Regions from separate parts of the Mus musculus genome. Here regions 2, 3 and 4 are each reported to be linked to region 1. Evidence: microRNA targets listed by miRTarBase, many of them from high-throughput screens and not tested one by one. Region 1 holds a microRNA gene; each other region holds the end of a gene's coding sequence.
Evidence for each region. Region 1 holds the annotated microRNA mmu-miR-466e-5p (GAUGUGUGUGUACAUGUACAUA, at 2,576-2,597, shown strand). A microRNA usually pairs through its seed, bases 2 to 8, with sites in the 3' UTR of a target mRNA and lowers its output. Matches are read on the target gene's strand: a 7mer-m8 pairs with bases 2 to 8, a 7mer-A1 pairs with bases 2 to 7 and ends in A, and an 8mer does both.

Region 2: the mRNA of Enpp4 is a reported target of mmu-miR-466e-5p. Seed matches in the 3' UTR shown: 7mer-m8 at 851-857.
Region 3: miRTarBase lists Wdr46 as a target of mmu-miR-466e-5p. Seed matches in the 3' UTR shown: 8mer at 5,635-5,642.
Region 4: the mRNA of Slc5a8 is a reported target of mmu-miR-466e-5p. Seed matches in the 3' UTR shown: 7mer-m8 at 1,391-1,397 and 8mer at 2,744-2,751.

Annotation. Positions count from the first base shown.
Region 1 is chr2:10,476,524-10,483,649 of GRCm38, forward strand. Mir466e (microRNA 466e) reads left to right here and starts at 2,565; the gene lies at 2,565-2,648. All of the region lies in intron 10 of Sfmbt2 (Scm-like with four mbt domains 2), which reads left to right. Mir466b-8 (microRNA 466b-8) reads left to right here and starts at 105; the gene lies at 105-190. Mir669a-1 (microRNA 669a-1) reads left to right here and starts at 330; the gene lies at 330-426. It also overlaps Mir669g, Mir669j, Mir467a-2, Mir669a-4, Mir467b and Mir466c-1, and 1 more gene.
Region 2 is chr17:44,092,972-44,100,074 of GRCm38, reverse strand. Enpp4 (ectonucleotide pyrophosphatase/phosphodiesterase 4) reads left to right here. Exons shown (of 4, transcript NM_199016.2): 4 at 398-3,766. The coding sequence ends at 762. Among named protein-coding and RNA genes, the nearest start is that of Gm34917, 9.3 kb to the left of the region's middle.
Region 3 is chr17:33,948,093-33,955,218 of GRCm38, reverse strand. It overlaps Wdr46 (WD repeat domain 46), which reads right to left. Exons shown (of 15, transcript NM_020603.2): 11 at 6,686-6,999; 12 at 6,482-6,576; 13 at 6,288-6,383; 14 at 6,033-6,146; 15 at 5,524-5,941. The coding sequence ends at 5,804. B3galt4 (UDP-Gal:betaGlcNAc beta 1,3-galactosyltransferase, polypeptide 4) reads left to right here and starts at 3,731. Exons shown (of 1, transcript NM_019420.2): 1 at 3,731-5,307. The coding sequence starts at 3,957. The coding sequence ends at 5,072. Rps18 (ribosomal protein S18) reads left to right here. Exons shown (of 5, transcript NM_011296.3): 2 at 43-141; 3 at 2,628-2,816; 4 at 2,907-2,998; 5 at 3,101-3,221. The coding sequence ends at 3,176.
Region 4 is chr10:88,925,214-88,932,339 of GRCm38, forward strand. It overlaps Slc5a8 (solute carrier family 5 (iodide transporter), member 8), which reads left to right. Exons shown (of 15, transcript NM_145423.2): 14 at 493-572; 15 at 997-4,302. The coding sequence ends at 1,122. Among named protein-coding and RNA genes, the nearest start is that of Slc5a8, 43 kb to the left of the region's middle.

The DNA.
Region 1 (7,126 bases):
CAGGAAACCCTTGGTAGAGTCGGGAAGATCAGGAGTGCAAGTTCGTGGTAAAGGCATGATGAGTTAGAGGTCATCCTGGCATTCATGTGATTGCCCCTATGTATGTGTGTATGTGTTGATGTGTGTGTACATGTACATATGTGAATATGATATACATATACATACACGCACACATAAGACACATATGAGCACACAGACACATGGGAATGGCACTCATCAATCCATTTGAGTGATAAGTGACTTAGAGTGAAAATGCTTGCTAGAGTTAAGAGTATCAGGAGTTCAAATTCATACTTATCCTCATGAGAGATCAGCTTGTGATTCCTCCATGTATGTGCATGTGTGTATAGTTGTGTGTGCATGTTCATGTCTATATTTGAATATACATAACATACACACACACGTATAAACGCAAGCACACATACACAGACACAGGAATGGCATTCGCCAATCCCTTTGAATGATAAGTGATGTAGAGTTTTAGAGATTATGCAATAGGGGGCATTGAATGGCCTCACTCACCAGGTGTAAAAGATTGACAAAGTCAGGAGGATAAGGATTGCAAATTCATGCTTAACTTCATTTGGAGACATCTTGGTATTAATGTCATGCAACCCATTTATGTGCATGTGTGCTTACTTGTATGTGCATTGTATGTGTTGACATGATATACATAACATAAACACACGTGTATCTGCAAGCACACACACACAGGAAAAATTGCATTCATTTATACGTTTGAATGATATGTGACTTAAAGTTTTCAAGATTATGCAGTAGTGGGACAGTGAATGGTTTTACTCACCAGGTGTGAAAGATTGTGGATCAGGAGTTCAAATGCATGCTTTACTACATGATGACTTAGAGATATGCCTGGGATTCATGTGATGCCCCCTATGTATCCCTATCTGTATCTGTTTCTATTGTGTGTGGATTTGAGTATATGGATGTACCTATCTACACAAATATATACATGTACACAGACACAAACAGAAACACACACACAAACATCAGTGCAACTCATCGATCCATTTGAATGACGTGTGACTTAGAGTTTTAAGATTCCTCAGTACTGAATGGGGAGAGGTCTCACTCAGCAGGTGAAATCCCTTGACAGAGTCAGTTGGATCAGGAGTTCAAATTCGTGCTGAATTTCATGATGAGTTCATGACCAGCATGGGATTCATCTTATGCCCACCAAAAATGTGCATGTGTGTATAGTTGTGTGCATATTCACTTCTCTATATGAATATGCATATACACACATGCACACACATTCATAGGAATGGCCAGAGCTATGTCTCAGTTAGGAGGTGAGCACTCTTGCCAGTGTCAGGAGGATGAGGAGTTCAAAATCATGTTTAACTTCATGATGAGTTAGAGTTCAGCATGCGATTCATGTGATGTCCACCAAGAATGTGCATGTGTGTATAGTTGTGTACATATTCACTTTTGTATATGAATATGCATATACTCACATGCAAACATACTCCCACGAATGGCCCGAGCTATGACTCAGTTAGGAGGTGAATACTCTTGCCAGCATCATGAGGATGAGCAGTTCAAATTCATGTTTAACTTTTTGATGAGTTAGAGATCAGCCCGGAATTCATGAGATTTTCCCTGTGTTTGTGTTTATGTGTATAGGGAAGTATGCCTGTACATGCACGTATATGAACATGCATATATATATATATATATATATATATATACATACATATATATATATATACACACACACACAACTAGGGACACATACATGTGCACACAAACACACATGGCAGTCATCCATTTGATTTATACGTGCTTAGAGTTTCATTGAGTTTATATTCATGGTATAGGGAAAAATCTCACTTATCAAATGAAAACTGTTTGCCAGAGTTAGGAGTCTCAGGAGGTCAAATTCATGCTTAACTTCATGATGAGTTAGAGATCACCCTGGATTTGTGGGATCGACCCTAGTTATGTACATTTGCATATAATTGTGTGTGCACGTACATGTGTATATATGATCATCCCTGTAAATACACACACATACAAATGTATTCACACATACAGGCATGCACACTCACACACATAAGAATGACACTCATTGATCCATTTGAATGATATATGTCTTAGAATTTTGCTGATTATAAAGTAGAGGGACAGTGAATATTCTCTCTCACCAGGTGTAAACAATTGGCAGTGTCAGGAAGATCAGGAGTTCAATTTTATGCTTAACTTCATGAGCAGTTAGAGATCATCCTGGAATAATGTGATGGCCCCTATGTATGTGCCTGTGTGCGTAAGTGCCTGCATGTATATGCGTGTATATTTTATGCATATACATACACACACCTACACACACATGCACACAGACATGCGGGAATGGCACTCACGGATCCATTTGAATGATATGTGACCTACTGCTTTGGAGGTTATGTATGACTGGGCCAGGGTGAGGTCTCACAAACCACGGGAAACCCTTGGTAGAGTCGGGAAGATCAGGAGTGCAAGTTCATGGTAAAGGCATGATGTGTTAGAGGTCATCCTGGCATTCATGTGATTGCCCCTATGTATGTGTGTATGTGTTGATGTGTGTGTACATGTACATATGTGAATATGATATACATATACATACACGCACACATAAGACACATATGAGCACACAGACACATGGGAATGGCACTCATCAATCCATTTGAGTGATAAGTGACTTAGAGTGAAAATGCTTGCTAGAGTTAAGGGTATCAGGAGTTCAAATTCATACTTATCCTCATGAGAGATCAGCCTGTGATTCCTCCATGTATGTGCATGTGTGTATAGTTGTGTGTGCATGTTCATGTCTATATTTGAATATACATAACATACACACACACGTATAAACGCAAGCACACATACACAGACACAGGAATGGCATTCGCCAATCCCTTTGAATGATAAGTGATGTAGAGTTTTAGCGATTATGCAATAGGGGACATTGAATGGTCTCACCCACCAGGTGTAAAAGATTGACAAAGTCAGGAGGATAAGGATTGCAAATTCATGCTTAATTCAGTTAGAGATCATCCTGGTATTCATGTGAGGCCACCCATGTATGTGCATGTGTGTTTACTTGTATATGCATTGCCTCTGTTGACATGATATACAAAATATAAACACACGTGTATATGCAAGTACAGACACAGAGAAAAAAATTGCATTCATTTATACGTTTGAATGATATGTGACTTAAAGTTTTAGATTATGCAGTTTGGGACAGTGAATGGTTTTACTCACCAGGTGTGAAAGATTGTGGATCAGGAGTTCAAATTCATGCTTTACTTCATGATGACTTTAAGATATGCCTGGGATTCATGTGATGCCCCTATGTATCCCTATCTGTATCTGTTTCTATTGTGTGTGGATTTGAGTATATGGATGTACCTATCTACACAAATATATACATGTACACAGACACAAACAGAAACACACACACAAACATCAGTGCAACTCATCGATCCATTTGAATGACGTGTGACTTAGAGTTTTAAGATTCCTCAGTACTGAATGGGGAGAGGTCTCACTCAGCAGGTGAAATCCCTTGACAGAGTCAGGTGGATCAGGAGTTCAAATTTGTGCTGAATTTCATGATGAGTTCATGACCAGCATGGGATTCATCTTATGCCCATCAAAAATTTGCATGTGTGTATAGTTGTGTGCATATTCACTTCTCTATATGAATATGCATATACACACATGCACACACATTCATAGGAATGGCCAGAGCTATGTCTCAGTTAGGAGGTGAGTACTCTTGCCAGTGTCAGGAGGATGAGGAATTCAAATTTATGTTTAACTTCATGATGAGTTAGAGTTCAGTATGCGATTCATGTGATGCCCACCAAGAATGTGCATGTGTGTATAGTTGTGTATATATTCACTTCTGTATATGAATATGCATATACTCACATGCAAACATATTCCCACGAATGGCCCGAGCTATGACTCAGTTAGGAGGTGAATACTCTTGCCAGCATCATGAGGATGAGTAGTTCAAATTCATGTTTAACTTTATGATGAGTTAGAGATCAGCCCGGAATTCATGTGATTTTCCCTGTGTTTGTGTTTATGTGTATAGGGAAGTATGCCTGTACATGCGCGTATATGAACATGCATATATATATATGTATATATATGTATATATGTATACACACACACACACACAACTAGGGACACATACATGTGCACACAAACACACATGGCAGTCATCCATTTGATTTATGCGTGCTTTGAGTTTCATTGAGTGTATATTCATGGTATAGGGAAAAATCTCACTTATCAAATGAAAACCACTTGCCAGAGTTAGGAGTCTCAGGAGTTCAAATTCATGCTTAACTTCATAATGAGTTAGAGATCACCCTGTATTTGTGTGATGGATCCTAGGTATGCAAAAGTGCATATAATTGTGTGTGCACGTACATGTGTGTATATGATCATACATATAAATACACACACATATAAAATGTATTCACACACACAGGCATGCACACTCACACACATAAGAATGACACTCATTGATCCATTTGAATGATATATGTCTTAGAATTTTGCTGATTATAAAGTAGAGGGATAGTGAAGGTCTCACTCACCAGGTGTAAACAATTGGCAGTGTCAGGAGGATCAGGAGTTCAATTTCATGCTTAACTTCATGAGCAGTTAGAGATCATCCTGGAATAATGTGATGGCCCCTTTGTATGTGCCCGTGTGCGTAAGTGCCTGCATGTATATGCGTGTATATTTTATGCATATACATACACACACCAACACACACATGCACACAGACATGCGGGAATGTCCCTCACGGATCCATTTGAATGATATGTGACCTACTGCTTTGGAGGTTATGTATGACTGGGCCAGGGTGAGGTCTCACAAACCACGGGAAAACCCTTGATAGAGTCAGGAAGATCAGGAGTGCAAGTTCATGGTAAAGGCATGATGAGTTAGAGGTCATCCTGGCATTCATGTGATTGCCCCTATGTATGTGTATATGTGTTGATGTGTGTGTGCATGTACATATGTGAATATGATATACATATACATACACGCACACATAAGACACATATGAGCACACAGACACAGGGGAATGGCACTCATCAATCCATTTGAGTGATAAGTGACTTAGAGTGAAAATGCTTGCTAGAGTTAAGAGTATCAGGAGTTCAAATTTACACTTATCCTCATGAGAGATCAGCCTGTGATTCCTCCATGTATGTGCATGTGTGTATAGTTGTGTGTGCATGTTCATGTCTATATTTGAATATACATAACATACACACACACGTATAAACGCAAGCACACATACACAGACACAGGAATGGCATTCGCCAATCCCTTAGAATGATAAGTGATGTAGAGTTTTAGAGATTATGCAATAGGGGACATTGAATGACCTCACCCACCAGGTGTAAAAGATTGACAAAGTCAGGAGGATAAGGATTGCAAATTCATGCTTAATTCAGTTAGAGGTCATCCTGGTATTCATATGAGGCCACCCATGTATGTGCATGTGTGTTTACTTGTATATGCATTGCCTCTGTTGACATGATATTCAAAATATAAACACACGTGTATATGCAAGTACAGACACAGAGAAAAAAATTGCATTCATTTATACGTTTGAATGATATGTGACTTAAAGTTTTAGATTATGCAGTTTGGGACAGTGAATGGTTTTACTCACCAGGTGTGACAGATTGTGGATCAGGAGTTCAAATTCATGCTTTACTTCATGATGACTTTAAGATATGCCTGGGATTCATGTGATGCCCCCTATGTATCTCTATCTGTATCTGTTTCTATTGTGTGTGGATTTGAGTATATGGATGTACCTATCTACACAAATATATACATGTACACAGACACAAACAGAAACACACACACAAACATCAGTGCAACTCATCGATCCATTTGAATGACGTGTGACTTAGAGTTTTAAGATTCCTCAGTACTGAATGGGGAGAGGTCTCACTCAGCAGGTGAAGTCCCTTCACAGAGTCAGGTTGATCAGGAGTTCAAATTTGTGCTGAATTTCATGATGAGTTCATGACCAGCATGGGATTCATCTTATGCCCACCAAAAATTTGCATGTGTGTATAGTTGTGTGCATATTCACTTCTCTATATGAATATGCATATACACACATGCACACACATTCATAGGAATGGCCAGAGCTATGTCTCAGTTAGGAGGTGAGTACTCTTGCCAGTGTCAGGAGGATGAGGAATTCAAATTTATGTTTAACTTCATGATGAGTTAGAGTTCAGTATGCGATTCATGTGATGCCCACCAGAATGTGCATGTGTGTATAGTTGTGTACATATTCACTTCTGTATATGAATATGCATATACTCACATGCAAACATACTCCCTCGAATGGCCTGAGCTATGACACAGTTAGGAGGTGAATACTCTTGCCAGCATCATGAGGATGAGTAGTTCAAATTCATGTTTAACTTTATGATGAGTTAGAGATCAGCCCGGAATTCATGTGATTTTCCCTGTGTTTGTGTTTATGTGTATAGGGAAGTATGCCTGTACATGCGCGTATATGAACATGCATATATATATATATATATATATATGTATACACACCCACACAACTAGGGACACATACATGTGCACACAAACACACATGGCAGTCATCCATTTGATTTATACGTGCTTATAATTTCATTGAGTGTATATTCATGGTATAGGGAATAATCTCACTTATCAGATGAAAACCACTTGCCAGAGTTAGGAGTCTCAGGAGTTCAAATTCATGCTTAACTTCATAATGAGTTAGAGATCACCCTGTATTTGTGTGATGGATCCTAGGTATGCACAAGTGCATATAATTGTGTGTGCACGTACATGTGTGTATATGATCATACATATAAATACACACACATACAAATGTATTCACACACACAGGCGTGCACACTCACACACATAAGAATGACACTCATTGATCCATTTGAATGATATATGTCTTAGAATTTTGCTGATTATAAAGTAGAGGGACAGTGAAGGTCTCACTCACCAGGTGTAAATAATTGGCAGTGTCAGGAGGATCAGGAGTTCAATTTCATGCTTAACTTCATGAGCAGTTAGAGATCAT
Region 2 (7,103 bases), not on the chromosome of region 1:
ATGGTGTTGCTTATTAGAACAACTGAGAGAGTTAAGTCTGGAATCCCATCCCCCATTCAGTGTTCTTTCTTCTCTCCCAGTTGTACAGGACCCTCAGCTCTTGCAACTAGCACTGGGGATGAGTAGGTGAAATAAGGGGCTTAGAGCTGAAACATAAGTACCTCAGGTTGAGAAGTGTTGAAGTCTAAAGCTGTGGTCCCTGGGAAAAGAGGTGTGTGCGTGTGAAATGCAGGCTGCCTTAAGCTGAAGGAAACAGATTTTCACGTCTGGCTTCTGTTTAGTGCAGCCAGCCAGAACCTTAATGGATGGAGACAAGAAGCTGGTGTAGTTATAGTGAACAAGATATTCTGTAGTAAAACACTGATGTTTAATAACGTAATTTTGTCTTTTCTTCCAGTAGGTGACCATGGCTATGATAATTCCCTGCCTAGTATGCACCCGTTTCTTGCTGCCCACGGACCTGCCTTTAGAAAAGGTTACAGGCAGAGCACCATCAACACTGTGGATATTTATCCAATGATGTGCCACATCCTGGGACTAAAACCACATCCCAATAATGGAACCCTCAGTCATACCAAGTGCTTGTTGGTGGACCAGTGGTGCATTAATCTCCCAGAAGCCATTGGAATTGTTGTTAGTGCACTATTGGTATTAACCATGCTAACAGGCCTCATGATATTCATGCGGAGCAGAGCATCCACATCCCGTCCATTCTCCCGTCTTCAGCTGCAGGAAGATGACGATGACCCTTTAATTGATTAATTCACCATGTCTTATTAATTTCAAAACTAAGGATCCATGCAAGGAGTGGTGTTACAGCCATAAAAAAGGTATATTTCAAAAGACAAGACACACATGGCAAAATTACTCTGGGGTGTGTGTGTGTGTGTGTGTGTGTGTGTGTGTGTGCCCTGTTTTGGTGTGTTGCCTGATGCAAATAACCCTGATGGTATTTAATTGCTGGTAAATCAGTTCAAACCACTAATGTCCCTAGCAAGACTAGCCTTTGAGAAAAAACAAAACAAAACAAAAAAACAAAACAAAACTTGAGTCCTTCTTCCTTCTTTCCTTCCTTCCTTCTTTCTTTCCTTCCTTCCTTCTTTCCATTATTCTTCCTTTCTTCTTTCTTTACTTTCAATGAAATATATCTTTAAGTGAAAATATACCAGAATTTAATAGGCATGCTTTTCTAACAAGTTTATATATTTGTAAATGACACAAAACTATTTATGTAATTTGTGCATTTTGTGTACCCTAGAGAAAAAGTTGCATATATTTTTATATTTGTCTTTAGTTAGTGTGTGTCCCAAGAAAACCCTTGAGATAGGAAATTCTGTGATAGTTAATAAAACCGATTAGCCACAGGGCATAACTGTAGCATACAAAGAAACTGTTTTAAATAAAGCTGCTAAAAACAATCAAAACCCAAGGAAGACTATGTGATGTAGAGCCCGAGCTTAGTAAGACCCGTCAGCTGTTGACACCTCAGAAGCTGAGTCTGGGGCTGGGCACAGTGGTGCACACAAGTAGGAAAGATGAGGCAGAGGCCTTGAGATGGAGTCCAGCTTGGTTACATAGCAATACCTTGGGGTTTTGTTTGTTCATCTGTTTGTTTTAGTTACATTTTTGGATACTATTGTTTATAAGAAGTTTCAAAGAGCATAGAGAAAAATTCTTCTCTGTTTGTGTTTAACGTCTCTGAGCAAGTTGTGTGTGCCAGTGTGTTTGTATGAGTGAATGTGCAGAGGTCATGTGACATGTGAAAGGGACATGTGCCAGAACACAGCTGTCGAGGAAGGTTCGGCTCAAGGAAAGGCTACTTCTTGCAGACTTTATGCGCATACTTTTACCAACTCATAACTTAATATCACTATTAAAAATACCATATTTTTGTTATAATTTTCAATTCTCATGTTTATTGGAAGTGTTCAATGCTGTAGGAAAAAAAATATGACGAGAGTATAAAGCTGCAAGGTCAGGGTTTTGAACTTGACCTTTGTGGCTCTTGAATGTGCCTTCTGTGCAGTCGAGTGGTCAGCCATGTAAAATGGAGTTGAGTGTCTTCTGCCCTGGCAGCAGCTGCGTGCTAAGGGCAGAGCAGCTCCAGCCCTGCTACTGCTCGCTTGCTCGCCTGACTCATCATAACTCCGAGAACCAGAGAGTTGTTGGGAAGCACTGTCATCATTCACTCCCTCCACAGCTGGGTCCTCAGAGCCAGAGCTATCAAAACAGCCTACATGATGTCCATTGGACAACAGACCACTGCTTCCTGGTACTGGGGTGATCTCCCGCATTCTGACAACGTAAAGCAAACTTGATTATTGCTCTTGAGACGCAAGATGGGTCTAAAGTATGCAGTGCAGGTAGACACCGATGATCCGTGATGACTCTCGACACTTGTCAGTCATCTTAGATTTATTGCGCTGAACTGGCTCACTGTGAATTTCCTTAAAGTTTGATGTCTGGAGCCTCATTGTATTTGGGTTTTGAGAGGCATTTCTGTACTGCGTACATAATCTATGCTCTTGGTCACAGAATGGATGTTTTAAGAACAGGATAGGAATGATTTTGTTCATAAGTGTTCTGATTTATTTTGTTACATGCAGTAGAGATACTAAAGGTTGAAGGGTTGATCAAGTAAAACAATAGAGAAATCTCTGCTTATTTCAATTTCCATTTAAGAAAGTAACAAACTGCAATATTCGCTTTGAGAAGAAGTAGGTGGGCACTTAGGACTTGTCTCCAGCAGAGTTGAAGACAGTTTAGCTCCCACAGTGCTGCGGATCCCAGCACAATCCCAGTGCGGTCTCCTTCCCCTGGCTGCACCTTACACTTGGTGTCCATGTGTAGAACAGACTTTTATAAAGGCTGGGATGGGAAGGGATGCTCTGCCAGTGTCTTAGTCCTTGCAGCACATGGATTTATTTTGTATTTTATTCTGTTCTCAGAATACTAAAACTAGTTAAAATGTTATAAAGTGCTTATTCAGGAGACAAGAATAGTATTTGTTTAATCAAGTATATTATCATATTGAACTTTCTGCTAGTTCGTTTGTATCCTTGAAAAACAAAAACTAAAGCCCCTGGCTGTAGTTTTGCTCTGAGAAAACCTTCTTAGTAAAGATAGGCTTTGACATGGAGATTTAGTGTTTGTGTTAGCTAAACCTGCTCTGCTTTCTGTTCAGGAGAAAATATTTGGCTTCCAAAATATTTAGCTCTTGGTGATAGTACCCAAAGATAATGGGAACGTGTTTGTCTGTGTACTTGTTGGTAATTGCACTAGTCAGCTCAGAATTTAGTACCTTGACTCTCTAGTAGAGGTCCAGGTGTGTTCCTGTTAGCCACCTATCATGTGTGCTCTTCTGTAAAAGCAGTAGGGTATGGCAAAGGCGTGCTGGCAGTGCTGCCCAGAAGGTTTCCTTTAAGAACCCACAGGTAAAGCCTTGGGATATTAAAGGCTCTGCCTTTGCACTGGTCTTGGATGTATCCCTCTCTGCCCACCTGGGAAGCTTTAAGGCTTGTTGGCTTTAATTCTTTTTGTGAAGAGTGGCTCATTTCATTTTTAATTTATAACATTACAAAAGAAGGACAAAGATTAGGTGTAGAGTATGTATTTATTGTCAGTTCTCAAACAGCATGTAAATATAGTGAGTGTGCTATAAGGAAGTTTGCAGTGCCTTAAGTTAAAGGGAGTACATTGTTTCAACTTGTAGATAATGACTTTGCTTATGATTAAAATGTATGTAAATAAAGTCTACCCAAACAAATATATCAGCCTTCTTAATTTGTCAACTTACAAAATGTACATACTGTGAAAACTGAATGTTCATGACTTGAGTGGTTCTATAAAGACCTTTACAGACATTCATTACAGATCTTTTTTAAAACCAGGATTAAAGGTATATAACAACCAATTTTTAAAACAATATATAAAATACATATAGTATGAAGGCATCATTGGCAAGAAACCCAGAGTAAATTTGCACAACCTCTTGAACTAAGATTAATGGCTTAGAGTAAAAGGGAAGAGACTATAAACTGATTACTGAACAGTGGGTGTGGTTAGAGTATTTAAACTTTGTCTTTTGCAGAACTATAGACCTTTAGTGACTTACCAAAAGCCTATGGATTCAACTACATTCTCTCTAGGAGAGCATTCAGTCAGTCAGTATTTTTAAATTAACCAAACACTGGTAGGAACTAAGAAAACTATTTGTTCTTTACTCTGAAAGAGAGGTCTTTAAAAATTGGGAACATTCATATGAATAGATGACACACATCTACCTGCAGTTTAGCTCTTGCTGTTGAGTTTCACGGAGCCAGAATAATTTCCTAGGCCCTCCACTTCTAGAGCTTAGATGACGCTTTGCCACTTTCTTTACCTAGTGTTGTGTATCGCTATACTGTCCTTCTCCCAGCACATACCCCAGGCATTGCTTGAGAGACTATGTGAAAGTCCAAAGATCCATTTGGGTCCTGCGGTGCTGTCATACAAGATGATGGTTTGTATTCTAACGTTTGTGAGTGTAGTGATTATCAGTGTCAACGTGGAACTGCTCTCACTCACGTCCCAGAGGTAGAACTGTTTGGCAGGCACACACTGGACTGCTACTCAGGCCTTCTGCCTACCTGTGGGCCCATAGGGAGTGGGACTATTAGAAGATGTTACCTTGTTAGAGGACGTATGCCACAGTTGGGGACAGCTTTGAGGTCTCATAAGCTCAGGCTTTGCCCAGTGTGACACACAGTCTCCTGCTGCTTGCGGATCAAGATGTAGGAACTCTCAACTCCTTCTCCAGGGCTGTGTCTATCTGCATACTGCCTTGTTTCTTGCCATGGCAATAATAGACTAGACCTCAAGCCAGTCCCAATTAAATGTTTTTCTTTATAAAAGTTGCTGTGGTCATAATGCAATGTGGTCATAGCAATAGAAACCCTAAGACAAAAGTTGGTACCAGGAACTGTGATATTGCTGTGAAAGGCCTGAGCATGCTTTTGTTTGGAAGAATGTGGGTCCTTGGATTTTGGGTTAGAAAAGCATTTGCACACATTAAGTGGTGTTTAATGGGCCATCTAATAGGAACATGGAAGAAAGTGGTGCTGACAGTGATTTGAACTGTAGAGCGCCTGACCCAGGAGGTTTTAGAGAAGACTATTAATGGCCTAGAGACTATTCTTGTGATAGTTTGGCAAAGAATTTGCCTGCATTTTGCCATTGTCCAAAAATTCTGCCTGAGGCCAAAGTGAGGAATTTTGAATTAATTGCATTGGTAAAGGAAATCTCAAAACAGCCTAGTTTAGACTCCATTTTGTGGTTACTAATGTTTACCCTTATGAAGCGTGTACTGCTGAGAAGAAGCACGCTGAGCAAGGAAAAATACAAAATGTAGAGATCAAGGAGAAAAGGGGCACCAGGAAGCAGAATTGAGCTAAATTTCATGTTCAAGGAGATAAACAGATTAAAGACATTAAATGATAAATGGAGCCGTGACCTCAAGGCAAGATCCCACCCAGTTATGCTTCCATCTTGTAAAAAAGGAATTAAAGAATAGCTTAGGTCCTTGTCCACCCCTTCCAGTGTGACAGCCTCATGGCCAGTCCTCTAGTTAGTGTATGTTTCATGGCCACCATGCTTAACCTCACTTTCATAAAGACTGTGGATAATTAGCTCCGAAACAAATCCAGAAATTATCCATAAACATACTTGAAGAGTTTAGCACTCCTCGCTAATTGGTTAGACTAAAACCACCCCTTCCACCACGCCCCCCATCCCCAAATAAACCTGGGGATGTCAACTCAGGTGTGGTGTGACTTACGTGTCATTGAGAGAACACTGCAATCTAAGCTGCAGAGGACATTCTTTTTATAGGCCCAGATCAAACAGGACTCCTGATTATGCTGAAGAAATCAAATGATGTTTTTTTTTTCATTCAAACTTCGTGTGACAAAGGTGCTGTCCTTGTGCCTTGCCTTACTGCTTCCTCTGCTTTTGCTTTAATATGTGAAAAGACAAGGAGAAGTTTATTCTCCTAATGGTAAACTGTGTGACTCAAACAGCCATCCTGCTAAAGACTGGAGAATTGGAGAAAAAAACCAGAAAGGTAGTGCTCAAGGTTTAAAGATGTTCAGAGGAAGTGAAGAATCCACAGGCTGAGGCTGAAAATGAAGAACTATGTACATGTGAGCACCCAATGGCGTCTGAGTATTCTAGAAAAAATTGTGAGGCTGAGGATCTGGCCTCATCATGGGGCAGGCCAGGGGTGGGGACTGAACAAGTACAGATGTTTCCGTATATCATTTAATCAGAAATCTATGTTCTTTGGTACAACTAAATTTGTATGTACAAATGAAATGGATAATTTTCTAGGGAGTTATTAGACATTGAGAAAAATACAATGGAATGATTTCTTGACTTAATTTATTTTTAGAGTGATTTTTAGTTTGCATATATACTGCACTGTGTCATGGAATAAATATAGGTATTAAAATGTTTTCTATAGTGAAGCATGATCATATCTACCATCCCTTAGTCATGGTATCAGTTTCTGTATCTAAAACAGGTTCAGAAGTTTCTAAGCTATCGTACAAGAACGTAACAGGTGAAGACAACAGACCTCTGAATCCTTTTATTTTTTTAATTAGTTTTCATTTGCCACCATAACAAGAGTTTTAAGAAAAAATAATTTTTAGGTGAAAAAAAACCCTTGATATCAAATCAAGGAAAAATAGAACAAGTTTCTTGAATGAGACAGCTAACGAAACGGAAATTTAAACTTGAAAACAAATTACATGTAAAGGAACAAAGCATTGGAATGAAAATGGCAGGGGTTAATAAAATTGGATGGAAAAACAGTATCAGAAGGTAGTGTACAAGAGAGATACCTCAACTGCAACATTGCATATTGCAAACAAATGCATGGAAAGTCGTTATCCAACCATCATCTGGATTAGCTGGGCTTGCTATGAAAAGCTCGCAAGACCCAGCTTTAATCTGGAGAGCAGCAATGCATTGTGGTCAAAGGAAGGGGCAGATGTGAGGAAGAGCCAGCATTTAACACCAAACCCTTTGAAACATACACATGGAAGACTGATGAAGCATCCCTA
Region 3 (7,126 bases), not on the chromosome of region 1:
TTTGGGGGTAACCTGTCTTGATAACTGCCCGTGTTCTTTCAGTCTCTAGTGATCCCTGAGAAGTTCCAGCACATTTTGCGAGTACTCAACACCAACATCGATGGGCGGCGGAAAATAGCCTTCGCCATCACTGCCATTAAGGTAAAAGTGTTAGGGGCAAAAGAGAAGCAGCTAAACTCACCCAACCCGTTTCAATAAAAGCCTGATGATGACCCAGGGTTAAACCAAAACATTGCTCCAGGGGTAGTGGGGTGTGAGTGTAGTCATGTCCCACCTTGCAGAGGTTTCCCGAGATCTTCAGCTTCCGAGAGCAGTCTCTGCTGTCAGCAAACCTTGAGTAGAATTCCTGTAAACTAACATCCTAAGAGGTGTCCAGGCTTAGCGGTGATGGTTGGGGGTGGTCTGCAGAAGCTATTGGCAGATGCCACAGTGGAAGGTGACACAGAAGCTGGCAGTTTTCCCCATTATGGCAAAAAGGGAGGTCGTAGGAGGAAGCTGGGATGTTTCTCTGCAGAGCTAAAAGTCTTGTAGACAGGGACAGGACTTGAAGTTGGTGATTTGAGGAGTTGCTGGTCAGGTGTGTTCAGCCATGAGACCTGTCAGTGGTGGGACCTTGTGGGATGCTAGGGTATAGATGGAACTGGGTGGCTGCTGAGAGGTTTGAAGGAGGCCTGGGGAGCCGAGGTAATGTCAGGTGGACATAAAAGTTGGAGTAAATTTTTTTAACCTTGTGAAGTCTCACTTTTAAGTCCTTGCCATGTTGACTTTTTTTAATTCTGCACTTTGGCAAACAATGATAGCACAGCAGGAGGTGCCTGGTGTGGTGGGCAGAGCAGTGTCTAGGGGGTTGAAGGGCCTGGGGCAATGCCTGTGCCCCGTGTGACCTGCTGGGAGATGATTACAGCTGACTTCGAATGCAGACAAGGTGAATGGAGGCTCTTGAAGGGGCTGTGCACAGTGTTTGTAGAGCCTGGGTACTGAGGGTTCTGTTGGTCCTGTGTGAGAGGGTGAAGAACACATCTTTAATGCCAGCACTCCCTGAGGCAGAGGCAAACAAATCTCTGGGCTTGAAGCCAGCCCGATCAATAAGTTCCAGGGCTACACAAGAAAAAACAAAAAAAAACCTGCCTGGAAAACAAAAGGGTGAAGCTGATTGGGAGGTGGGTGGTGGGTATTGGGAGTTTGAGGAGAGAGATTTCGGGGTGAGTTCCTCCAGAGGTGATTGCAAGCTGACCAACAAAGGGTGAAGGACAGGGAAGGTTTCTGTATTCTTTAATTTTTTTTTTCCCTCTTTTGGTTTTTGGAGACAGGGTTTCTCTGTATAGCCCTGGCTGTCCTGGAACTCACTCTGTAGACCAGGCTGGCCTTGAACTCAGAAATCCGCCTGCCTCTGCCTCCCAAGCGCTGGGATTAAAGGCGTGCACCACCACGCCGGGCAGATTTCTGTATTAATTAAGAAGTGTCTTCTGCTCACTCAAGGTGAGAATTTGAATATTTGGAAGCATATAGGCATGTGCTGGACCAGAAGTGCTTGCTGCCCTTATCTGTGAGGCAGTCTAGTACTGTCTGAATCCCAGTCCCTCCAAACTGCTTTAAGTGTTAGGAGTCGGTTCTTTATAATTTAAGTTAGTGCTTAAGTCAGAAGGCAAGGTGGGCGTGGGGCCACACTTTGTAGCTGAGCATAGGTCCCTTGCCTTGTCACCATAACCAACCTGGCATCATGCACCTTTAGAACTCACAGCTTGACAGTAAAACAGGCTCAAGAAAAGTAAAAAATTATATGGAGGCTGAGGTGAGGGTTGTGAAGGTTTTTGGCCTGCATGTCTGTGCATACTGTGCCTCTGGAGGCCAAAAGAGTGACTTAGATCCTCTCTCATTGGGAGTTCGAGTTATGAATGAGTGCTTGGTATATAGTCCAGGTCCTGGAAGAGCAGCCAGTGCACTGAGCCATTTCTCTAGCTCATTCAATGACACTTCCCCCTCCCCGCTAATTCTGGTAGTCACAAAGTCACACCCACTCTTGGGGCTCAAAAAACCTGTTAAAGGTTTGACTTTGTTCATCTGTGCTGCTTTTGTTGAGTTTGTGACACATGTCCAGTGTGGCCCGAACAGCGTTCCCTTCAGTTAGTAGGCAGGCTTTGTCTCTGGAAAGTGATCTGAAAAATGACAGGATCTCTAACTTAGGCTGGCCATAGCAGTCCCGAGTTCAGGGAGCTGGGATAACATCTGCACAGCCCCTCTGCTTTTGAGTAATAGGGTGTGTGTGAGGGGGCTGGAGAGGTGGCTTGGCTGTTAGAGCATTAGCTGCTCTTCCAGAGGATCCAGGTTCAATGACCCAACACTCAACAACCATTAACTCCAGTTCCAGAACATCAGCGCCTTCTGGCCTCTGGTCAGTGTGCCACAGACACACAGACATACAATGCAGGCAAACATAAGACACAAATAGACTGGGCTAGAGAGAGAATCCAGCTGTTAAAAGCTATGACTTCTTCCAGAGGCTCCCAGTGACCACATGGTGGCTCACAACCATCTGTAATGGATTCTGATACCCTCTGGTATCTCTGAAAACTCTGTACTCAGATCTTTAAAAACAAAAGTCTAATAGCCCAAACTTTTGACCTCAGGGCGTGGGGCGGAGATATGCTCATGTGGTGTTGAGGAAAGCAGACATCGACCTCACCAAGAGGGCTGGAGAACTCACGGAGGATGAGGTGGAGCGAGTGATCACCATCATGCAGAACCCACGACAGTACAAGATCCCAGACTGGTTCCTGAACAGACAGAAGGATGTGAAGGATGGGAAGTACAGCCAGGTGTGTTAGGGGACTGGTGGACACGGGTTGTCCGTTAAAACTGGGTGCAGAATCAGGAGATAAAGTTGTCTCCCCTGTCTCAAAATCTAGGTTCTGGCCAACGGTCTAGACAACAAGCTGCGTGAGGACCTGGAGAGGCTGAAGAAAATTCGAGCCCATAGAGGGCTGCGCCACTTTTGGGGGTAAGTGGGTGATGAGGCTTAAGCTGCCCACTCCCAATCAGGCTGCACAGTCCACCGGCTCGCCTCCTGCTGCTCTGTGACCTGTATCTTTTTCTTCTGCAGCCTTCGTGTCCGCGGTCAGCACACCAAGACCACTGGCCGCAGGGGCCGAACTGTGGGTGTATCCAAGAAGAAATGAGTCTCTGGGCCTTTGCTGTTAATAAATAGTTTATATACCTATGACCTCCGTCTCAGTTTGTCTTCCATCTGATAGTACTTAATGCCACAGCGATCCTGAGCTCTGGTAGTTTAATCTGGCTGCAGGTGCCTTCTGGGTACAGTGCTCTTGGTGCACTTGAACGGAAATGTCCCTCATAGGCTCCTGCTGGTGTTTGCTCCTCCCTTTCTGTTGGGTGTTCACAAGGAGACTGCCTTAGGTGCAGCAAACTGGGCGGCAACCACTGTTAAAGGTGGGGCAGCCGGTGTTGAAAACCTCCAGGGGAAGCTTGGGCAGGCTTCAATTGAGTCTCCTGCCGTAGCCGTGCTAAGCTGTTGTGAAGTGGCTACAGCTCCGCCAGATGCTGCTGCTCGGGTGAGTTAACAGCAGATGCTGGCTGCTCTAGAAAAGCAGCCTGGTATTCCGCGTGCTTTACAGTAGGGACGGACCGGGAAGGGCTGGACCTATGTGAAATGCACGCCGCTTGTCGGCTTCCGGCCTAGAGAGGCATGATGGGAAGGTGCGGGGAGGGGCGGGATGGAGCGGAGTTCCGCGTGCACGCTAGCTAGGGAAACGAAGCCTTCCGGGGCCAGCTGTGGTGGGCCAGGGCCGCATTGCACGACAGCATCTGGAGAACAGCATCTGTGATGCGCCAGAGCCCCGCGCATGGGTCACCGCGTCTCCTCAGCAGCAGCTGGTTAAAGCCGTCCTCCCACCTCCCCACGCTCTAACAGCTGTGCCCACAGGTCTCTGCGGCACGCCATGCCCCTCAGCCTCTTCCGGCGCGTCCTCCTGGCGGTCCTACTACTGGTGATCATCTGGACCCTGTTTGGACCTTCAGGCTTGGGGGAGGAGCTGCTGAGCCTGTCCCTGGCATCCCTGCTGCCGGCCCCAGCCTCGCCAGGACCGCCCCTCGCCCTGCCCCGCCTCTTGATTTCTAACTCTCATGCCTGTGGTGGCTCCGGACCCCCTCCCTTCCTGCTCATCCTGGTGTGTACGGCCCCGGAGCACCTGAACCAGAGAAACGCCATTCGGGCATCTTGGGGTGCCATCCGCGAAGCCCGGGGTTTCAGAGTGCAGACGCTCTTCCTCCTGGGAAAACCTAGAAGACAGCAGCTTGCTGACCTGTCCTCAGAGTCAGCAGCACACAGGGATATCTTGCAGGCCTCCTTCCAGGATTCCTACCGCAACCTCACCCTCAAGACCCTCAGTGGACTGAACTGGGTGAACAAATACTGTCCTATGGCCCGCTACATCCTCAAGACGGATGATGACGTGTATGTCAACGTCCCAGAGCTGGTGTCAGAGCTGATACAAAGAGGGGGGCCTTCGGAGCAATGGCAGAAGGGCAAAGAGGCCCAGGAAGAGACAACAGCTATCCATGAAGAGCACAGAGGCCAGGCAGTGCCCCTTCTGTATTTAGGCAGGGTGCACTGGAGGGTGAGACCCACTCGGACACCAGAGTCCCGGCACCATGTGTCAGAAGAACTGTGGCCGGAAAACTGGGGTCCTTTTCCACCCTATGCCTCGGGCACAGGATATGTACTGTCCATCTCTGCTGTGCAGCTCATCCTGAAGGTGGCCAGCCGGGCCCCACCTCTACCTCTAGAGGATGTCTTTGTGGGAGTAAGTGCAAGGCGAGGGGGCCTTGCCCCCACACACTGTGTCAAATTGGCTGGTGCTACCCACTACCCCTTGGATCGGTGCTGTTACGGGAAGTTCCTGCTGACATCCCACAAGGTGGATCCCTGGCAAATGCAGGAAGCTTGGAAGCTGGTGAGCGGCATGAATGGGGAGAGGACTGCACCCTTTTGCTCCTGGCTCCAGGGATTTCTGGGTACCTTGAGGTGCCGGTTCATAGCCTGGTTCAGTAGCTGAGAACCCACAGAAAACAGCACCTCAGAGACCTTTCCCCAAAGTTGGTGCAGAGGCTGCAGATCCCTGTGGTGATCTAGTTCCTCCATTTTCTCACAGCAAACTCTGAAGCTGCAACCAACCAAGTTTACCAAGATAAACTTGGGCCCTGGCCTGCCAGCTCCGGGGAGGGATAAAGCCAAGGGCGGGAAGGGGACTCACAAGCAGGGACAAGGGTCCAATAAACATGTCTCTCTACCTCAAGTGCAGCGTCTTCACCAGGCCCCCAGCACACCTGGAGAGCCCAGAGCTTTCAGTACTGCTGCATGTTGGTCTTTGCGACAACCACAATGGGGATAACGCCCCCCTCTAGGGTGAAGGCTTGGGCAGTGGTGGGGAGACAGGCAGGGCAGTGAGCTGAGTCTAGAATAGCCACACAGGGAAGAGCAGACCTACAGGATGGTCCAGACACGTCTCCAGAAACCTTGTTTAATGCCCACACACCCAAGGAGCTGTCTGCTCCTACCCAGTTAAGATGTAAGGCACATGGGACAATTTCCCTATGGATCTTTGTGTTCCCTTTATATATGTGTGTGTGTGTGTGTGTGTGTGTGTGTGTGTGTGTGTGCGCGCTGCCCCATGTGGGCATGGAAAGGTAAAAAGACACTTGTGTGTTTTCTCCTGCCAAACGTGTTTTCTGGGAACTGAACTCAAGTTTGGCATCAAGTGCCTTTGCCCACTGAGCACTCTGGCCCCTAAGGGTCAACTTGGAGACCGCCTTCTCTGGCTCGTCGTACAAATCTATCCAGTGCAGAGGGACGGGCTCCAGGAGGCATGGCCATATCCTGCTTTTTCTTCTGCTGCTGCTGCTCAAGGCTCTGCCGGACTTTGTCCTGGAACAAGGTGGGAAAGGAGCGTAAGGCACTGAGCATAGGCTGATAAGGCTGCAGGCGTGCATGCCAACACCCGCCCGAGCTCACATACCCTGTGCTCCTGGTCCATGACCTTCTTCTTCCTCTTCACTAGGCTCGCCGTAGAGCTTCGGCCCTTCTGCTTGGCCTTGGGCTGAAAGGCAGCCTTGGCGTCTGGATCATAGCCCTGGCATGGGACATGAAGGAGGTCAACAGCAGGCCCAGTGCCCTGGCAGCACCTATATCCTGCGCTGCACTTCAGGATGGGGTGGGGTATAGAGGCGAGGGCTGGACACTCGGGCTGCGCACATAGCAGGTGGCTCCATACCAGTCTCTCTATCCGCTCCTTCTTCTGCTGCTCCAGAGTGACCACATCCACCTCTGCCAGGGCTCGGGGGTTCAAACAAATGAGCTCTGCAGGTACCTGCGAGGGTCACAGGACAGCGATGTGTAAGGAGCCACGGGGAGGTGACACCAGAAAGGGATGGGAGCCAGGGAGGGCCGGGCTCCAGCACAGCTCACCTTCTCCAGCAGGGCCTTCACCTCCCATTCCTGGCGCTGCTTCCGGCTCCGGTATGGGTTATTCTCCAAACCATCAAAGTTAGGCTCCGCAGCCCCTGAGGGAGGGAGGCAGAGAGGGAAGAGCATGGAGCTGAACCTCGTCCTGCAACTCTGGACTGACCGGCCCACGGCCTCTCACACTTGTAATGACGCTGGGCCACTCACCAGGGACCAGCATGCTGGTGAAGCCTCCACTGTGCCCCACCCCCAACACGTCTTCAAAGGGGCAGAACTGGAGCCCATGCACGTGGCCTGAGAGCCGGTGGGTGAGGTAGGGCTGCTCCAGGGAGGGTGGGCTGGCCTTGCCCTGCCCTGCCCATATGTTGACCACATCACCCATTCCCGCAACTAACAGTCCCCGCTGGGAAAAGGCCAAGTGCCCTGCTCCCTGGGGCAAGGTCCGGGAACTCAGGGGCTGGAATGTCCCTCGCAAGTCAAAGATCTTCAGCTGGTGGTCCAGACCAGAGGTGGCCATGTACCTGTGTGGGACATGGATCAATTAGCCTCTCGTGGGGATTGACCAGAGCCTGTGGCCAAGTCCAAAGTATCTACTGTGAACATGAAGGAAGACTAGTCCCACCCTCCACACCACATGCCTCATACAAC
Region 4 (7,126 bases), not on the chromosome of region 1:
CAGAGAGGCAGAGAGGCAGAGAGGCAGAGAGGCAGAGAGGCAGAGAGGCAGAGAGGCAGAGAGGCAGAGAGGCAGAGGCAGAGGTGACAGTTTGCCACTTTATAGGTAGGTTGTGTGGGCTGCTTCTCATTTTTTATTTTTTTAATCATTTTTGGGACAGACAAGTCTTTATCCAGGTAGCACCAGATGAAGCAATCAGATTAGGATTGGGAGCTATTATCTCTCTGTATCTATTATCTCTCTATTATCTATTTATCTATGTAGATATCACAATATTTACATTTATCAGTTAGAAGCTGTGGGGTCCAAGATGGAGGAGAGGGGAGTGGCAGCTGGATCTTCAGGACTACTTTCAAGGTTTTCTTTGTATTTTATGTGTGCATAAAGCTGAATGTTCATAAGCCAGATGCCTGTGTGATGGGTGTGGGGGTGGGTTAATATGTAATTATAAGGTATCTGTCTAACTCTGTAAATAATGGATTTGTTTTTCAGGAGGAAGAAAACAGAACTTAGATCCCCGATTCTTACTAACCAAACAGGACTTTTTATCCAATTTTGATGTTTTTAAGAAAGTAAGTTAGGTTTTATTTATTCTTAAATTAGGAAACTGGGTTTTTAATTACCTGAACAGAGCAATAGTTAGTCCCCAGCTCTTTTCTTGGACAGGCACACAGAAGGGATATTTCTATGTCTGTATCTGTATGTGTATATGTGTACCTGTAGATGCAGGTATACAGTTAATAGATATGAACTATTTAAGAGAATATATGGCTGTCGATAGATAGTTCATAACTTCTTCACACACATGGCTATTCATAGCTCAAATGCATATCGTATACCACGCTAGCTTCTGCTGCCTTGTGTATGTTTGCATTTCACTCTCCCTTAGTGGATTACCAAGCTGATTTAGAGAAATAAAAAGTTGGTATCAGTTATCTGTCATTGAACAAATAATGATTTTTAAAAAAAATTTCCATGTTACCCTTTATCTTTCAGAGGAATCATGTTTTAAACTATAAATTGCATCCTGTGGAAGTTGGTGGAACTGATAACCCTGCCTTCAACCATGTTGAGCTGAACTTCACAGATCACAGTGGCAAGATCAATGGGACTCGCTTGTGAAGCATCTCCAGGGCTAGATGACATTGTATAATGTCTGTTTTGTTTTTGTTTTGCTTTTCTTTAAACATGTTTTAGGATAGTTGGATCAGATCAGTTTTTTCCTATCATGATTGTTTTTGGAAGATATATTTTATTAAAGCCAAATCCCGATTTGGCTCACTTTATACACTGGTTGATTGATGCTATCCTGGAGTTAGGAGTTTCAACACGAGCTCTGGTTGTGGATGTTTATAACTACATACATGTGTGAAAGGCAAATACAGACATACACACATGGTTCTTGATAATCAAAGGCATATTCTTACGTTTGGGCATTACTGAAAACATTTTACATGCCTTTGGTGCTAGTATATGTATATTCTGGGAACTTTACTAGAATAATAAATCTTGGAAAGAGATTTCTTTCCTCCCCCTGAATATCCTGTTTCTAGGCAGCAGGGACAGGAGGAGGAGTAGAGCACTTCTGTGGACTTTACTTCTGGATCAGCCCATGCTATAACCTTGCCTCTGAGTCTGCCTCTGAATGGGTAAATAGCAGCATCCTGCCTAGGATACACTAGGTACCCAACGATCAAGTTCATCTTTAATGCATTCTTGTGCCTGTTTTTCCTCTGCTGAGATTCCTGACAATTGCCAAGTACAGTGCTTTTCATAGACTATTGACTATAGATTATAGACCATTGACTGTAGACTATCAACTATCGACTATAATTTTTAATCTTTATTCCCAACTTCTGTTCTAATAACCTTGCTTTTGTAGAGCATGTTACCTGGACTTAACTGTTCCAGCTTCTTGCTTTTTGCCCTGGGTTTAGATATGTCTTGAGACATCCAATATAAACTATGTCACCTCTTTCCTTCAGTCCCCAGATCCCATCCTGTGCTAACACATGCTTCTTGTGTATTGGGTAACCCAAGAACATTAAATATTTGAAAACGGTGAAGTCCCATGGAGTCGCACAATTGCTTTTAATGCTGTTAAGTTGAATTACTAATTCATATAGTTAAAGAACTTCATAGGGAAATACTTCTTTATTTTTTCACATGTTTCAGGTTATTAAATGCATGCTTTTTTTCTATTTTCTAAGATTTCAAGCAGTAATTTCAAAGTTCTTAGCCATTTATTTGGCTACATTCATAGCTAAAACTTGTGTTACAGAGTTTCATCAATAACTTATTTTTCTATGATACCCACATTAGATATTGCTTAAATTTTTAAAAAGTTTTCAATATTTTAAGAAAAGAAATACTGATATTTTAAAAATAATTCATAATTTTATACATATTTTTGGTCTATTATATTTGAAGGCTATACTATTTACTTTTAAAGGCTCTTAACTGATAATAAAAACTAAAATATCAAAAATATTAGCATTTATCTGAAACAAAGAGATTTATATGCCATTTGAATCAACTATGTATTCATGTATTTCTTATGTATATAGATCTATTTATTGATTACTATATTTGTAAACAAAAATCAAGTTTTGTGATTATCTTGCAGTACTCTAATGAGCATGGTTATGTAATTTTATATATGTAATCTTATATAACTATGATTTGAAGTATAGTTATTTATTAGATGATTCTGAAAAAAAATATACATATACATACACACACACACACATACACATGATGCTTCAGTTTTGGCAATGAGAATCAGGTTATTTGATTAACTTTTTCTTTGATCTGACTGCACAAAGGTTACTCAACGTGTTCTTCATGAGAAGTGGTATTCCAAACGAGTTTGTCAACTTCCTGTAAGACAAAGTATATCCTTGTGAGATTTGGAAATACCACTGTCTTATTTTTACAAATGCACAGGAATGCCAGATAGAATTCTTAAAGTCAAAAGATGTTGCTATTACTTAAAAAGTATTTATTTTTAACTTTTAAAACATGGGACTAATATAAATATGAGGGATATGTCAGCATATTACAATGTAAAGTAAATAATCTTTTCTTAGTTTTATTAAAACACAAAAACCTTAATGGAAGAAAACAATTGTACAGGTTGTCTGTCAGTGTCTTGCTGCTGACAAGTATGCCTTTGACTTTGCCCTTAATTTCATTTAATGCTGATATAAGAATGAGGCTGCCCACCTCAAAAAAGTAGTGTGAAAGACCTGAGTTTTGACAGACCAGGATTTCATTAACTCAAGTGATTTGAGGCAAATATTATTTGCTAGGTTTTTTTTGAACTAAGAAGAATCTTTACTATCATGAAGTAAAAAAAACAAAACAAAACAAAAACAAAAACAAAACCCTTCCCTAAAAAATATGTGCCACAGGAGTAAAAATACATTTGAGAATCAACAGGAAAGACTATAAACCTTAAAGAAAGACATGATTCAGTCCTATTCATCCTACAGAGAGGTGAAAACTTTATAGGTCAGGTGTAAAACATCACAGAGTCATGTTATCAGTAAGTGGATTGTTTGCATGCTCTCTTTTTTTCTCTTGAGACCAGTAGTTACCAGCATGGGTCATTGTGTTTCTCTGGTGACATGTGGAGACATTTAAGTGTCCCCAATGAGATTGCTGGTGCCATGTATGGAATTAGGTTCAGGAAAGTACCATTAGCACTCTGGATAATGACCACACACTTTCAGAGGAGTCTGAAATGTGAACACATTTTCACAAGTCGTGGGTAATTATTTAGACCAGTCTTTGGCCAGCTCAGCTCCTTTACGTGGTTTCTAATATGGCCCCACATTAGGATGTTATGAAATACATGACTACTAAGATCTCTGAACTTCATCTTACTTATGGAAAGCACACGTCATGTGGTTTGTTTCATGAAATAAGCTGAACATATGATGTAGACACATTGGGTAGGGCTGAGCTTGAGAAACACTGAAGAACTCTGTGAACTGATTCCCTCTGAATCTTCCCATGAAGATTGTTGATAAGGAGGCAACCAAGGTAAAGGGCTGCGGTTCAGCGGTAAAACTCTTACTGAGCTTGTGCAAGATCCTAGGCTTCCTTCCCAGCATCACTGAGAACGGGGGCAACCTAGTGCATGTCCGTTTAGCTCTTAAAAACGCATTGGATGCATTTAGAGTCAACTTTTGTACCACTGTTTGTGAAAATATTGGGAAAGTTGAATATTTCTATGTAAAATATGGTTACAAACTTATTTTTTTTTCAATTTGCTGATTAAAATTTCCATAAAAATCATTGCAGTTATCTGTTCTTGGAGTAAGAATCTGATTGGATATAATGAGCATTATCAAAGGCATTTCCTGCCTATTTACTCCGTAAGGGACTCTCTTGAAGTAAATACTGTGTATACGTCATAAAATATGAAAGCAAACGGACTTGTACAACTTTGTCATCGAGGACCATTTTATATTTTAAATAACATTGTATGTGAAGGCAGAAATGCCGGGTTTGCATGCTGGCTGACTGTACCTCAAACAGCTGTGAATGAAAGCTTGGTTCACAGGGTCGAATTCCTGGGAGACGGCCGAGGCTGTGGGGAGCAGGGTCCAGTGCATGTCTTTAGATCATAAGCATTGATGCCCTCAGAAGTGATTGTTGTGTGTATGCCATCATCCTTACTTCTGTTTCTGATGTGTTAAAGCTCTGACCACTTGCTTCTCTCCCCGTCCCAGCTATGATGAGTCATTTTCGTCAGAGGCTGAAGCACACGGCCGCTTCAGCTATGCCTTGAACTTTGAGAACTATGAGCTCAACCAACCTTGCCCTTTTAAACATTTAATTGACTTGGGTATTTCATTGTAGTAATGTGAAACTCACTAATACAAAGGGCACAAAACAGGTAGACTAAAGGATCTATAGTCCAGGGGAGGAACCCTTGCCTAGCATGCAAAAGATTTGACACAACATAAACAACATAAAAGTACAAAACAGGGCAAACTTTTCTGTATCAACTTCAAATTTTAGTTGAGAAAAATTAAAAATTAGTGTGAATAATTGCTGGTAGTAGCAGGACTTCAGATTAGCGTTAGAAACACAAAATCTAAACATTTTCATCTTCTTGAAAATAAAGATGCCATTTGAAGTTTTAAAGTTAAAGTTTTCATCTCAAAGCTATAATTTTCTTGCTGTAAAATTCAGTGGTCAATCAAGCCGATAAAAGGTTTAGGTACAAAAGATGACCATGGTTATACTCAATTGCCTAATTTGGAAAAAGTTTCCTACAAACAGCTGCCAAATCTCCTGTTTGGCAAGAACTTCCCTTTTCTTTGGCCACTTCGGGTCATTCATTGGATTGAAGGACCTATTTGCTCCCTGCCCAATCACAGGGTGAGGAAAGTTCCAATTTTCTAGAGAGGGGAATTCACGTGACCTTTTTCACCCTGAAAGTGAGATGAGATCTTTGCGATTTAATTTCATCAAGCCGAAGGATACTTTGAGAAGTACCAATTTTATCCTTCATTCCTGTTTCATGAGCACTCCTTTTTCTCATTTTAAAAATTCCCATTTTACTTTCCTCTTTGTTTAGGCGGACTCACCTCAAAGGGCGCTGAGTGTCTGTTGAGGGTGTTTCCTCACAGTGTTCCCGTCCACTTCTGCACAGGGAGCTCTAGGATCCTCTTCTGTTTTCCTCTGCTCCCCTTTTGTCCCCTGGATGCCCCACAGTGGCCACGTCACAGTCTGGCCTGGCCTGTGTCGGCATCACCTGGGCAGGCTGGGCTGTACACCTGCTTTCTGATTAGGCAGCACTGGCACAGAGCCCTGGATTTGAAGTCTCCGTTTCTCCAGGAAGATGGCGGTTCCGGTCTGTGAATCACTTAATGACTGACGATTGTGCTGCTAATCCACAGTGACCTCTTTGGAAGCTCAATCTGATGACCCTCTTGACTCAAGAGTTGCTATGTCCTCCTTGTATAATAAAGCCCACACCCTTCAGTCAGAGGTTTTTGTTTTGTTGTTGTTGTTGTTTTCGAGACAGGGTTTCTCTGTATAGCCCTGGCTGTCCTGCAACTCACTCTGTAGACCAGGCTGGCCTCGAACTCAGAAATCCACCTGCCTCTGCCTCCCAAGTGCTGGGATTAAAGGCGTGCGCCACCACTGCCTGGCAAGTCAGATTACTGTGCTGTCACTTTCTGTGTCACACGGAGAAGTCCCATGATGCACTATGCATGCTACACACTCCTGTTTTCTCATTATTTTAAATGCTCTCCTCTTACATGGGCAGCCCAACAAATACCTTTGAAACAAATAGTTGCTCAGCTGTTAGAAGCTCGCAGCATGTACCTCATTTCCCTTTCTTCTGTTTCTTTGGGTGGTTTTATCTTGTACTTAATGACACCTTTAGCAATTTCAACATACTTCACACATGTAGGATGCACTCAGCTCTCTCTTCAGTGGTACACACGACTCTATTTCTGCACTGGGATGTTTTCTGTTAGCTCGTGTTTTCCCTCCCAGCTCCAAGCTCCCAGAATAACAACTCCAAGACTTATATTTATTTACAAATGCCTAGGCCAAAGCTTTGCGTATTCTCCAACTAGCTCGCAATTTAATATTTTGTTTATTCTGAGTTCTCCCATGTGGCTAGTTACCTCTGCTCAGCTTTCATGAGTCTGTCCTCCTTAAGGGTCCTGGGGACAATCCTCTGTGCTCCTCTCTATCCCAGAATCCTTTGTTCTTACTGGAATTCCCACCTCCTATTTCCTGCCTAAGCTAATAGGCCAACAGCATTTTTTTATTGACAGGTGAATAGTTTTATAGAGTACACAAGGCATTATCTTTACATTATCTCTACACATTTGTGATGTTTTGTTCATGGGAAGGGGCAGCCATTCCAGTTAGCTTCCTGGCTTCTCTCTGACCCTTTGTTCTTCAATTGTTCACGGAAACAAGGAACAACTACAGAGCTCAGCCAATTTGAAAGAGGGGTTAGTCCTAGGACTTGGACACAACCACAGACTTTCTCCACTTAGGAGCTACTGCTTGAAAGATGTAGACCCCACCTCCTTGCACAAATTATCTCTATCGCTCAAGCCTGGATCAGCACACCCTGCCTCAAGGT